2 linked regions of the Astyanax mexicanus genome follow. The protein of the gene in region 2 purifies or fractionates together with the protein of the main gene of each other region. This does not show direct contact. Links are inferred from orthologs where the notes say so. Each region holds a gene or a part of one and is shown on either strand. Other genes may lie near its edges.

The links. Proteins that work in one complex are often made in the same cells at the same time.
Region 1: the proteins of hspa12b (region 2) and eef2k purify together in Homo sapiens (affinity purification with mass spectrometry; 3 studies listed by BioGRID and IntAct, with this or other methods). This does not show direct contact. The link is inferred for Astyanax mexicanus from reciprocal best matches to the Homo sapiens genes HSPA12B and EEF2K.

The regions. Positions count from the first base shown.
Region 1 is NC_064422.1:23,410,932-23,418,667, reverse strand, and holds the start of eef2k (eukaryotic elongation factor 2 kinase), read right to left. Parts: upstream 3,001-7,736; 5' UTR 2,687-3,000; intron 2,144-2,686; 5' UTR 2,084-2,143; coding exon 1,841-2,083; intron 438-1,840; coding exon 375-437; intron 1-374. UniProt on the Homo sapiens protein: Threonine kinase that regulates protein synthesis by controlling the rate of peptide chain elongation.
Region 2 is NC_064415.1:19,784,707-19,792,110, reverse strand, and holds the start of hspa12b (heat shock 70 kDa protein 12B), read right to left. Parts: upstream 3,061-7,404; 5' UTR 2,860-3,060; intron 2,740-2,859; 5' UTR 2,564-2,739; intron 1-2,563.

The sequences.
Region 1 (7,736 bases), on a different chromosome or scaffold from region 2:
CATTACAGACTGTACTGTAATCGGTTTATCATTATTTGGACCAAAAACAAATATATGATACTATGTTAAGCACTAAACATTAATTAAATTATTACTAAATAATAATTATTCAACATTTATGATTTCATGATTACTTTTCAGTGGTTTATTTAATTTCATTATGGTTGTTTTCTTGTGGGGGGTAAGCTGCTAAAACACTGAGCAGGAACAGGTGACGCAGAAAAGGGGGTGGAACTCCTATTGTGAAGGAACAGCATGCGTACCAAAGGAAGCCAGAGAAAGAATGGATTAATGAGTAAGGGAAAAGAAAGAAGTGAACAGTGCAGAGAGGCTAGAAAGTACTGAACGTTGAAAAACTTGAATGTTGAACATACCCGACCTTTCTCAGTTAAAGAACCAAACCTGACCGATCGCACCTCTGGCTCCTTATTTTTGTTCTAAATAGATAGGGGAGGAGGAGGTAGACACAGTGGAGAGTTAGAAAGACGTAAACTACACAGTAGCTACATTAGGATTGCTAAATACTAAATAACTTCAATGCCTAGATTTTTTAAAATGGACCACAACTGAATCTGAAAAGACCAGGCTTGCATGCATCAGTATTCAGAGCCTAACTGTGCTGAAGAAGGACTTAAACAAAACCCAAATGTATAAAAAGACAGGACACCATGTGTCATGACATGCATCGAGAGACTTGAGTGCTTGTCTAAACCTACCCACAGAGATAAAACACTGTGTCATGACTTCCTGTTCTTTAAACAAGGTTTAGTGAAGCAGCTGCTGGTTACCCTTGAAGCATGTGTTTCAGACAGGGCTCCTTCTCCATATATGGGAGAAAGATTGTACAAGAGAATGCACGACCATTTGTAACGGTATTGTAAAAACAATATGTTGTGAAAGGATTGCAGCATTAGGAACACCTTTAATTAGCAATAAGATGCTACTAAGATTATTGTAATATGTTCTAAAGCTTACATTAAAGGCTTCTTTGTATTTTATGTAAATTAAAGAGCCCAACCTGTTGTGACTGACAAGGACGTGTCATAATAAAGATACATCACTGACTAGGGGGTGCTATTTTTAACCCAAAAAAGCCCATGCTGATATATATGTCACACGCCCTTTGAAAGATGTGTAAAGTTCCTAACATCACAGAACAGTATGTGAACTGGTATTTATGCAACTCATCTTATTTTTTTTTATAGAATGTAGGAGTGTTGGGTTAGTGCTGGATATAAAACTAGCTCCTTTTAAAAGTGCATTACTTGCTTCTATAGCTCAGTTACAACCATTTAACTATTCAAATGCTTAAATCAATGTTTTACGTTCCTTAGAACTATTTCTGACCTGATTTCAAGAACAAAAATGTTAGAAAAAATGGTTAGGAAATTGGTGGTGTCATTTATGTTACATCATAATTTTAACCTCAAAATATTTAGTCATGTGCCCACAATAAGAAACAAACATGAACGAGCTGCTCACTGTTTTTATCTGATTAAATTCATTTTGGATTTGGTATCAATATTCCGAAATGTGTCTTGGCTCTTATGGGTTAATATTTCAAGAAAACTTCTCATAAATGAAAAATCAACTTAATTAACAAAAAATATTTTTTATATATATATTTAAAGTTGTTTTCATTCACATATTTTTAATAAATTCAAGTAAAGCTTCGTTGTTTGGTATAAATTGTTCTGTCTTTTTGGCAGAACAGTGGAAGTGTTTTTTAGCGGTTTTCGGGCAAACAGTTTTGATCGCCTAATGTGTCAACGCATCTCTATTAAATACGTAAGACATGAGGAACACATTAATGAAACATACAAAATAAAATGTTCCTCACCTTGTAAGTGAAAGAGTTTTTGGGCAGGGAGTTAGAAAGCTGCCTGTTGTTGGCAATGTTCTTGAGGTAATCGCAAATTTCCTTAGTAGGACTGACAGGGTCATCAGTGATGGGGCAGATATAGAAGTCGTCATCGTCATCATCAACTGAAGGGTCGCGTCCAAAACGCACAACCCGTTCACCACTACTCCTTTTTAGGCTGCCCACCTCCTCCATACTGAACATCAGCTCGTCGTCTGCCATGGTGTTGTTGTTGGTGTTATTGAGTGAGTGACAGGCTGGAACTTGCAGGATTGTTGACAGCTGAAATACATACATGAACACAAAATTTAGGCAAGTCTAACAGGACAATGAATGACAATAACTCTCAGAAAGTCTTGGTAGCTAGGTTCACGTAGCTGTGACATATTTAGCTAAATGAACACCTATTCAGGTAGGTTAAACTACACATTGAAAACGCTTATTTTTGTTTATAGTAAACTTAAATGGCTTTACCTAGCATGCATGTGAATAAACAGCTTTAAAATATACATATAAATAGAGTTTTTAAGCTAAGGTTAGCATATTAGCAACAGTATTAGCTAACTGCCATATGCATCTGAATAGCTTAGTTAAACTAGCTGTCCAATCCCCACATATTCGACTCAAATGAGCCAATCAACATAAAGTAGCAAGCAGGAATAAATACAAAACCCCTACTCGTGTAACCTAGCTAGTTCTGGAAAGCTGTTCAGATTGTGTGGAGCTACAGAAATGAAGCTGCTACCAGCTAAAGAACACAATGTGTCATTGTATGAGCTGCAATCTAAAGTAAACATAAGAGGACGCGGATGGCTACACGCCTACCTTTGGCTTGTATAAACCAGGCTATTCACGGGAAGAAGGCATGTCTGTCGTTCACAGGTGGAGCTTCTTCTCTTCCTTTCTCTGCTGTCCAGGCCCAGGTGCAGGTGCGTTAAATCCTGTGAACGCTTGTTGATTTGAGCTCTTCGTTTCAAGGGAAATTTCAGCTGCACTGTGTGACTGACTATCCCTGAAACAGCTCTCGTCCCATTTAAAGGTGCAACGTGTCCTCCTCCCCCAGCCGCAGCAGCAGCAGCTCTGCCTGCCCTGCTGCCTGTTTTTGAATGCACTTTCAGGGAGGTGGGGGCAGTAACATTAGCCTGCTCCACTGCACTGTCACCCTGCCATGACCCTGCTGCGCCCTCTAGAGGACCAAACCCCCACTCTCTGACTTGGTGAGGGTTACAAAAGAATAAATAAATAAACCCAATATAATAAAACAGTACAGTGTTGTCTGGATGTGCCCCATAAGCATAAGCATGTTTTTCGAAGCTTAAACTCCTGTTTAGAGCTGTAGCTGAATACATAGCTCTAACACTCTCAGCCTTCAGATTAACGCTGTGTTATTAGTGCAGGTTTCCTCCTGCAGGGATTATAGTTACTGTTAATAGGGGAGTAGTGGTGCTGGCAACAGTGGACCACCAGAGGTCCCAGTGAGCGACACAAGCAGGCCGTGATTAGAGTACAGCCCGTCCACAGCGCCATGCTTTTGAGTACACGCCATGCTTTGAGTACACGGAGTGCACGTAGCGCACACGCCCACTAACACACACATACACACTCAGAGAGAGAGAGAGAGAGAGAGGGAGAGGCGGACAGAAGCAGCACACATAGCTATCTACAAAAATACACATACGTATGCCAAACCTCAGGGGTGCTTGTGGTGTTAGGAGAAGTGAAAAGTAAACACGAGGTCCCCCTTTCTCTTAGTGTAAAATAAAAACATAATTTCAAAGCTACAGTTTTGCACCTTTAGCCCAAGTTAAAGGCCCAATTAGCCACCAGGATATCTAACTAACCTAGCCACTTCACTATGGTTTACAGTTTTACTTATTTTTGTAACTTAGGCTGATTTATCCCAATTCACAGACCACACTGCAAACCTAAAATATCCTGCAAAATGAAGCAATGCAAACAAAACTATATGTAGCATTATCAGAATCAGAACAAAATAGCACCCACTTAATTCATTTCACCAGATTGTTCTGCTGTTTTAACTGCAAAACGTGTGTAAAGCAGAAAATGTGTTTTAAGTGTTGGAGACTTGAGTGTGGCAGTGTGGCAGTTTAAATAATTCTGATATGAACTTGTTTTCTTTGCATTATTTGAGGTATGAAAGCTCTGCATCTTTTTTGTTATTTCAGCTATTTCTCATTTTCTGCAAATAAATGTTCTAAATGATTATATTTGTATTTGGAATTTGGGAGAAATGTCTGTAGATTATAGGACAAAACAACAATGTACACTTTACTCAAACATATACCTTTAAATAGCAAAATCAGAGAAACTCATTCAGAGACTGTAGCGATCTCTTAGATTTTTTCAGAGCTGTAAGTTATATCAATATAACATTAACATAAATAGCCTAGCGCTAGCTAACTAGCACGTTGACTACTGGTTAAGACGTTTCGGTTAATTATCACTTAACCAACCAATTTTATCTTTGTTAATAACATAGAGTAAACTAACACTGTGCAGGACGTGACTAATGCTAACGTCTGGAGCATGTTTCACAGAAAATAAATGTTGAGAAATGTTTGCTAGCCAGTTAACGTTAAAACTATGAGAATCCATTAACGCCATTCATGTAGCCATAGTTAGATAACTTAGCTAGCGCAGCTAACATACCTAGCTAGCTGAATAACTAAAGTTACAGTTTAAGACATTTCGGGGAATTATCATTTAACCAACCACCGTTAGCGTTGCTATTTATACATATTTTTAAAACTGTTAAACTGTAACTTTACAGGACATACTTAACATCTGGAGCACGTTAGCTAAGTTCAGATAGTTAACGTTAGCTAGGTTGGCTAACTAGCTTAGTTTTCTAGGTAACTTAGGTTGTTTAACGAGCGAGCAACAACAGTGAGTAAGACCTATGTAAATGAATTTACCTCAGCTCTGTGTCTTACAAATAATAAACATAACAAATAATAAATAAATCAGTGTACGCTAAATCCCAAATTCTCACATACATTTGTAACCAATAAGTTTAACTAATTTTAAACGAACTATTAACGATTATAAAATATGATCTGCAGGTCTTAGTTTCTTAAGCCCGAGTTCAAACGCTGCTCCTCTGCGGTAGCGTGGCCGAGTGGTCTAAGGCGCTGGATTTAGGCTCCAGTCATTTCGATGGCGTGGGTTCGAATCCCACCGCTGCCAAACCCTTTTGAGCTTTTTTTAAACGAAGCTGAAACACATTTTGACTGTAAGGATATTAATATCATCACTACCACCAGCGACAAAACAGGGGTCAGTTATTTCAGTCAGACTGCGCTTTCTCTTCGGGTCTCCCCTTAATAATTTGCAGTCCGCGTGCCTCTCTACACTGTTCAGTTCAGCTGCAGCGCCACACCGTGGTTAACTTTTATCATCTTTTATTTGTGTTTTCAGAACAGAACTCAGGCTTTTTCATTTCTTATGACACCACCTTTATGTGTTTTAGTGTAATTTTAGTATTTATTACACAGCAAATGCCGTATAGAACTAATGTAAATGTTATTAATATATATATATATATATATATATATATATATATATATATATATATATATATATATATATATATATTTTTTTTTTTTTACTTTTTCCACAACTATTTGTATGAATGTTTGAGCTGATGCTGTCAAATGCAGCTTTTAGTCTTTTTCCCCCTGATGTGTTTGCTCTTTGTGTATACAGATTAAAAACCTGGAATATAAGGATGATCACAAGTCATCAAACCAAACTGAACTGCTTGAATTTGAAATCAATTGAAATATTGATTTCATGACTCTTAAAACTTTATGAATATGAGCTTGTTTTCTTTGCATTATTTGAGGTCTGAGTGCTCTGCATCTTTTTTGTTATTTCAGCCATTTGTCATTTTCTGCAAATAAATGCTCTAAATGACAATAGTTTTATTTGGAATTTGGGAGAAATGTTGTCCGTAGTTTATTGAATAAAACAACAATGTTCAATTTAGTCAAACATATACCTATAAATAGCAAAATCAGAGAAACTGATACAGAAACTGAAGTGGTCTCTTATTTTTTTCCAGAGCTGTATATGTAAATAAGTGTAGAGTGTGTAATAAGGTGTACTTTTTCTTTTCTGATACCAACACTGGAAACTCCTAAATTAAAATTTGTTTGCATCATACCAAGACTTGACTGGATAATTTCTTTCTTGGTACCGATATTAGATTAAGCATTTTCTATTTAAAGAAATCTATTCTTCAAGAGTTGTTTCATTAGATGCATTGTTTCAAAATTAACCCATGAACATTGTTTGAATAGCTAACTGATTCGTTGTCTAGATATAATATGTTTTTGTATATTTCAGAGAACATTCTACAGTGATTCTACAACGCTATGCAAAATTATGGAATTCACCACTCTTGGATGAAGTTATTTCAATTGTTTTTTTCCAACTTTTTAGAAATAAAAATAAATCACAGGGACATCTCACAAAACTATCCTTCTTCTAAATTATAACATTCTGTTATTCTGAAAAATGTTTTGTACTTACTTTTAGACCAAGTAGAAGAAAGAATATGGAATCACTCAATTCTGAAGAAAATATCATGGACCATCTCAGTAATTTACAGTTCTAAATCAAACACGCTGTCATAATATTAAATCTGCTAATTAGTCTTCAGTTAAAAAAGAGTGCTGAAACCTTGGAGAGCTGTAGCACAAAACAGAGTGACATGAATCGTGGCTTCAAAAAACAAAAGATGTCAGTTGAAATATAGGAGAGGATTATAAACTTCCTTGAGAAGTTAAATCATCATGGAATGTTGCAAAAGATGTTGGTTGTTCCCAGCCAGATGTGTCTAAAACAAAATGGGAAGGTTGTAAATGAGAGGCATACAGGTAGAACAAGAAAGGCATTGAGGTTTCAAGATGGAAAACTTGTAGCAACAACAGAAAATTCACTGGACTCAATGTCTCAAAACTGGAATCAATCTGTGACTGAACTGTAAGAAATGACCTAAAAGAAATGTGGATCACATACAGTAAAGCTTCATTAACACCTAAACTGAAAAGAACAAGGTTTCAGTGGGCTAAAGCAAATCAATCATGGAGTGTAAATGGTTGCATGTCATTGATGATATGGGTCTGCATGTCAGGTAAAGACCCAGATGATATGACAGTCATTACATTTTCAATAAATGGCAAAGTCTACATTCTTATCAAAACAACTGAAAGGATGTATGGTAATGATAACTTTTTTCAAGATAACAAAGGACATGACAACTTTTCTTCTAGAAAGACATCTAATGTCAATGGCATGGCCTTCAAATAGTTCGGATCTCAAACCAGTTGGACATCTCTGGTGAAGAAAATGGTCAATGACAAGGCACCAAACTGCAAAGCTGATCTGGCAGCAGCAATAAAAGAGAAACAGATTGATGAAAAATACTATTTGTCATTAGTTCAGTCCATGCCTCGGAGAATTCAAGCTGTTATAAAAGCCAGAGATGGTGCAACAAAGTACTAATGGTGCAGTGGTTTTCCTCGTAATTCTATAAGATTTTCCTCAGAATTAAGTGATTAATTTTTTCCTTATTTCTTAAAACTCCAGAAGGTTGGGGTTTTGAAAAAAGAGAGTTTTGTGTCATGTCTCTGTGATTTATTTGTTGCTGAGGAATGAAACAATTATAAGAACATGATCCAAGAGTGGTGATTACATATTTCTTGCCAGGGGTTATATATAGAATTGCTTCTGTATAGTACCAAAAATAGTTTTGATAGTCACAGAACCATTTCCTGCGTATATAAATATAGATGCATATATTAAATGTCATGATACTGTCAGAGATCATAAAAAAAAACGATCTAATCAT
Region 2 (7,404 bases):
AAGTGTGTGTTGTAGCATGCAGGTGTGGTACGTCAGTATGGTATAAACTATTATATATTACTAGTATTTTAAATAATAAAAGTGTATAACTATGGTACATAATAATGTTACATAATAATGGTATTTACTGCAATTCACAACATTGTCAATATGCACTGTCAGTATGCAATGTTTTTAATCAATATCTGTAATATATGAAAGTTCTATTTTTCTATATTTTATAACTGTAATAACTTTTTTTATATTGTATAACACTGTCAATATGGTATTCAATGTTATTACTAAATATATGGTAATACATAACACAGTTGATGTATAAACTGGTAAAATGGTATTATGCTTTTTTGATTTGGCATATAGCTTTAATATATATCATTTCTGATGTATATGAATAGAGTATATAACTTTTTATGTTAAATAGCTATAATGCATGGCTTTTGGATATAGAAAACCACTATGGTATATTAAGTTGTTGTTAAATTATATAACTTTCATACATATTAATTCTGATGTATATAACTAGAGTACAACTCTTTTCTATGTTAAACAACTATAATACATAACAGTTTTGGTACGGTATATTACTTTGGTAACGTTCTGACATATAGAATATTTAACTTTGATGCATAATATTTCTGATGTACGCAGCACATGCCATATAACTTCTTTCTACATTACAAAACTAGAATAACAGTTTTAGTATGGCTTATTATTTAACATAAATTATTTACTTTTTTCGATATATAGATTAAATAAATTATGTTTTGATGCATTTAACTATGGAGTATAACTTTTTCCGTGTTCTATAAGTGCAATATGTAAAATTTTTGGTATGTTATATACCTATGGCATATATCTTTTTGCTGTGCTATATAACTGTAATACATAGCATTTCATTACAGTATGTGATAATATAGTATATATATTATAATAATAATAAAATGACTTTTTTTTATAAGTGTGATACACAATATTTTTCATGTAATATATATATATATATATATATATATATATATATATATATATAATTTTTGCTATGCTATATAACTGTACTGCATAACATATACAGTGTATATCTAGGGTAAATATCTTTTTGCTATGCTACATGATCTTGCTGAAATACAAACCATTTTTGATATGATGTATAGTTCTAGTATATATTTGTATCATATATACTGCAAAACTGCCTTATTTAATAAGTACATATATTTGTAATCAGCATATCATAAATCCAGCTATAAGGGCTCCACCCATTATACAGACAATCAGGAGTAGCATCACTCAAGCATAAGGAAATGCTGCAAGCTGCTGTATGTCCTCCAAAAACAGCATGGAGTTCTAAATATGGCTCAACACAGTGGCAGAAATTAGACAAGCTATTGGTGGAAGTGCTCCACCTTACTCTCTCTCCTCCCATCTCACAATTCCCAGATTATCTGCACACACACACACACACACACACACACACACACACACACACACACACAAACCTACTATAGATTCCCTCTTAACATCTTACACCATATTTCTAACAACACCTAATCACATCCATCACATCTCACAACTCCCTGAAACATAAAGGTTCCTACACTCATTTTATGGAATATGAAGTTCTTGGAAATGTTTCAATCTGTGCAGAATCTGTACATTATATGCCATTATTGCTAATATATCTCATGTTGTTCTTTTGTGAACATTCATTGAAAGGTGATTAGTGGAATTAATAGTGGTTTGTTTGTGCACTGACTGCATAACTCTGGGCTCTAATATATGTATTGATATTCAATTATTCAATCATCATAATCTGCACTGGACGCTTTTACTTTACTATATTAATTTATTATATTAATAAATCAGCTTTATTTGCATATTAAGTTCTCTCTTGCGCACACAAAACTGTACTGTATTTATATTTATGTATGTATATTATTGTTGTTGATACCTGTACCTCATTCAAATCTGTTCTCACTGCACATATATATATATATATGTATATATATACATATATACATATATATATATAATACTATAACTTTTAATAAACTACCTTAAACACCTTGTCCAATTAAAAACACGTATCTTCAAAACTGCAACTTTTAATGATGGAGATAAACCTTTTAATGTAAGTCAATGTAAAAAGAGTTAATTTCATGTAATTTATTTCAGAAAATTTGCAAGTGTTAAGAACAGTTTGTGTGTTCAAATTATGTAGAAAACTAAAAAAAATAAGAATCTTGTTTTTCATTGTACAGTAATGATATGCTGGTATAAGAAAATTATATTTTTTATTTTATTCTTTTTTTATATTCTCTTATATTTTTATGTGTCTGTGTGTGCGCTTATAGAACACTTATTATTTTCTTATTTTCCTCCCTCAATAAATAATAAAGTGTCATCTTATCTATATCTTCTGCATCAAGAACCACTCTGCTAAAAAAAAAAAAACTGACTGTACATGAACCGAACCCACACAGTGATGTCATACTCTATCATCCAGAGCCATCCAAGAACATCCAATTCTTCTTCAGCCCAAAATTAAAGCTTTCAAACAATATCAACTCACCCTGGTGTTGATGACACAATGCTCTGCTCCTGCTTGACCAGCAATTTCCAGCTCTGTTTAAAGTCCTGCAGAAGTCCAGAGACCACAGAAGAGGAGAAACTTCCAGAGATGATGCTTCTGTGGCTACTGGAGGCTTTAGAGTGACGAAATTCCCAAACTCCCAAAGCCGGAGATTTCTGCAGAGCAGACAAAAGAAGAAGAGGAATGAGTGTGAGCTCTGAATGCTTTAGGAGCAGCAAAAAGTTCCAAACTAAAGTTTCCAAACTAAAGTCCAGCCCAGAGAGAATTCCTCTTACTCTTTCCCTCTCCCTCTCTCTCTCTCTCTCTCTCTCTCTCTTTCACTCTTTCACAGTCTGTCTCTCTCTCCCTGTCTCCCTTTCTCTGTGTTCCCTCCTGCGCCTGTATCCAAGCACTCAATCCCTCAACTGCACTGGAATGTCAGGGAGGAAAGGGTGATAGAGTGGGAGCCACACTCTCTCTCTATTTCTCTCTCTCTCTCTCTCTCTCTCTCTTTATCTCACACACACTAGTTGGCTCTGGAGGCTGTTGTAGTTCAGGAGAGCAGGGAGGGGAAAGTGACTTCATAGGGGAACTTATTCAATGACCGCATGTGTGTGTGTGTGTGTGGAAGAGGGAGGAGTGTAGCTGGAGTGACAGTACACTAATTAAGTCATCTGAGCTCCTTCCACTTCTCTTCCTTCCACCACACCCCTGCATCCAACTCTCTGTTTTTGTCTTCTTCCTTATCCTCCTCCTGATTCTCTTTATTCTGCTCTCCTTTATTTATTTTTTTATTAGTTACCCTCTTTCTTCCCTTCTCTCTTCATGGTTTACTTCTCTTGTAGCCGTGTTGCCTTTCCATCGTACCAAGCTGTAACTATGAAAGCTACAAATCTTCCCTTCTTTTGTTAAGTATAGACAACCTGATGCATTTTAAGATTTGTAGCAATGGCTGTGCCAAAAATACAATTATTTAATCCAGCCAATCATGTTGCAGCAGTGCAATGCATACATACAGATATGGGCCAACAGCTCCAGGTAATGTTCACAGGTGAGTTTCACCCAAAAACTTTGTATTGCCTATGGTAAATGCCCAGGTGAATGTAATCATGATTTGGTACATAAAAAAGAGATGCAGTATCCCTGAGTTATTGGGCCAAAAAGGACAAAGGATTAGCAGAATTTTAAATATTTCATCCATCTACAGTGCATAATATTATACAACCATTCAAGGAAACAGGAGGAACTTCAGTGCATAAAGGCACAAATCTTAGCTGAACACCCAAGATCACTGAACCATCTTTCAGCTGATCAACCTAATCATAACCATTGTTAAGCACTACAATGAGGAGTGACATGGGATGTGCCATCACACAGTTGAAACATGTATTGTGATCTATTTTTGGAAGAAGTAGACGCTCTGTGCACTGGACAGAAAAAGAAAAGGACCAAACAGACAGTCATGAACAACAATTTCAAAAGCCAAAGACTGTTGCTGGTATATAGTTGTTTCAGTACACATTTTTGGAATTCTTTCCACAAAGTCTTGGATTTACTCAGCACTCAATGAGTGTAAACACAAACATAACGTAAATCCAAGTGGGCATCTATCTATAGTACTAGGCTGAGAGAACAAACTGTTGTAACTGCTGCAACTACTTTAGCCATGTAACAGAAGAACACTTATCCACTTGTGAAAACATTGTTCTAGGATTGGTTGTACAGTTCAATAATAGTTTAAGAAGAACTGTTATGGAGACTTCATGTCCTTTTCTTTACAAATACACACAGCGTCACTACTGAGAAGCACCAAAAAGCTATTCAAGTGAGTAAGCGTGTTTAAAGGCAAAACTTCACATTTTGAAACATGTCTTTTAATAGTGTAATTATCTGAAAACAGTCATAATAATTTACATTTTCACTTAAATTAAATTCAGCTCAGTCAAGATAGTGACAAAGCAGCTTTCCTGAGAGGAACTGAGAGGTAAAGGCATATGGAGAACGTTAATTGTTGATTAGAAGGTAATGTTGATTTGAAGACATTGAAGTTGGAGAACCATTAGAGCTGTTGACCAGGAGTTGGGGAGGTAAGTAAACGGTAATCCAGAACATGGAAAGTGTGGAATCAATTTAATCTGGCGGCAATTACAGCATGGAACAGCACAGCAGTGCCCAGTTCAGGTGCTGGAGTTCAACACCCTGTAGAAATTGAATATCCTGGTGTGTTAGATTAGAGCTAGAGCTCTCTGATTCCTAGGACCAGGGTGGGCACCCCAAGATCTAGAACAATACAATACAATTTTCTCCTAGTGTTTACAATAAACACACACACACACACACACACCTATGCAAAGTTTTGTAAAAGTGCAGAATGGACTTACTACCTAAATGGAAGACATTGCCAGGCTTATATATACACATGCATGCACACATACACATACTGCCAAATGAGAAAAGGCCCTTGTGGATTCCTGGTTTTGTCATATTTCCAAATCAATTTATTTTGGCCGAGTCTGGAAGCCATTACTGATGGCATTGTGAAAGACGAGGCCTCAGTGAGGGGCCCCTGTACCCCCTACACGTCTACCCAGCTCTCTTACACTTCTTTTTCAAACACATCCAGACCTGCCTCTTTTTTCTTTCCTTTCAAAGCCATTTTGCTGGAAATGCATAAAGAACCAATGTAAAAACTATTCTAGTATATTCTATTCAGTCCTCTATATGTCTTAATGTTCACAAATATGATGTATATACTTCAATATGGTGTACATATACACTACATGATGAAATGATCCAGATACTCCTGAAAGAGTAAGAAATTAGCATTGCTAATAGACTGGGGTGCTTTGAAGTACCTGCACATGAGCCTAAGTCACAATGCCCAATGCTAAGCATCAGCTAGACAGGGATAATGCTCCCCAGCTTCTGGCCTCAGAGCAATGCAATGCTATAGTTCATTGCAGTAATGGAACAGCATTGATAAGTGATCCAAAACTAATCATAAATGTGTCTGTGGCTGACTACAATGAAATCCTTACAGAAGTGTTGCTACATTTAAAGAAAATCTTTCCCCAGAGAAGAATCCCTTTACAAAAATAGCCTGGCCAGCTCAGGGGAACCAAGCTGGGTATACTGGTTGACCAACCAAGCTCTTGATTAGCATTGGGTATTTTTTTATTTTATTCTATTTTTATATTAATTTGATGGTTTAGCTGGTTATCAAGCATTATCAACCTGACCAAGCATGGTAACAAAACTACTCTGGTCAATCAGCATGACCAGCAAGACCAAGCTGATCGACCACTATGACCATACGATTGATCGGCATGACCAGCAACAGAAACTGGTCAAACAAAAGCTGGTCATGCTGATTGACCACCTTGGTCGTGCTGGTTGACCAGCTAAGAACGGAGTGATTGAAACCTCAGTTAAATTATTTGGATTAGTAAACAAATGCTTTTTGGCAATATAGTGTATATTGCGATATTAAAAAATATAAAAAAACAAATAGACCACATTTGGCCAGCAGTCAATGGTCCAATATAATGCATCTGTGTGTTAATGATTTGAGTAAAATAAATGCTATTGGTTAGATATTAATGTTAATCTCATAGATATTGCCATGTACAATGAGAACAATATGAATTTTTATGTTTATCAAGCAGAAAAAAAGCTTTTTAAATATTCACTTGAAAACTTGGTCTTTAGCTCGACTTGTTATCAGGGTACCCAGTCAACAAATTTTAGTTTAGTATAATGTTTTCTGAACTTCTTAAAACATTCAATCTTTCTGGATGTTCTTGCAACATTTTCATTTAAAATTTTAATTATTCTGGTAATGTCGCTGCAACATCTCTTAATTTTTTGTTTTGAGAACGTTATTTTTTAACGTTTCCATAATGTTAGTATTAGTTAAGCCGGTTCAACACACACACACACACACACACACCCTGCAACATAACAGTTTTGCCAAAACTCACTTTAATGGAAGCTTCGCTTCACTTTTGGGACTTGTTCTAAGTGTGCGGCTGCAGCTCCAAGCGTTTCTTCAAATTTGACGTTGTGTTTTTGAAGCCAGAGTGCTAGTTTTATCCTGTTAGCTTGTTAGCTTGCTAGCCTGTTGTTATTTTGGTGTGGTTGCGGCCGACAGCAACCACTGTAAGTTCCAGCAATAAAGAAATGACTGTAAACAGATTTCTCACCCATCCTTTCAATGCGTCCAGCCGGACAGTACAATATCTTTTACTAAGAAAAATGAGAAAGTAATGCACAGTGACTTGGATAAGTAAATTACTGGGTTGGAAATAGTAATGCGTTAGATTATTTGGTACTGGAAAAAAAATTCAGATTACAGTAACACTAAGGTATTCATGACATCACTGGTCAAATCTCATATTAACACCCTTGACTGTAGAACAAATCTTTGGAAATTTAGGATCAGTTTCCCAGACAAGTACTAAACCTTGTCCTGAACTACACAGCATTGTGAATGGAGATCCTGCACTGAAAGTAAAACATGGTCTGGCATTGGGTTTTGTATTTATCATTTACAAACAAAATCCAACCCAAATACTCCAAAAGCCAATACTCCATTATTAGCCTTGTGAGAATAATAAAACACTGCCTTTGTCTATTTCAGTGTACAGAAGTCACTTTCCACTCTGCTGCAGCCGTTTACAACTATAAACACTCTCACTCCCACAGACCCAGCCTCAGACAGGAAGTCAGTGGGTCAGCTGACAGGAAGGTCTCCCCCTAGCCCCCTACTAGACTTGTGCAGTGCACGCTAAACCAGGAACTGTTTTGGCTCTGACCCCAAACACACCCGAAAGCCTTCCTGT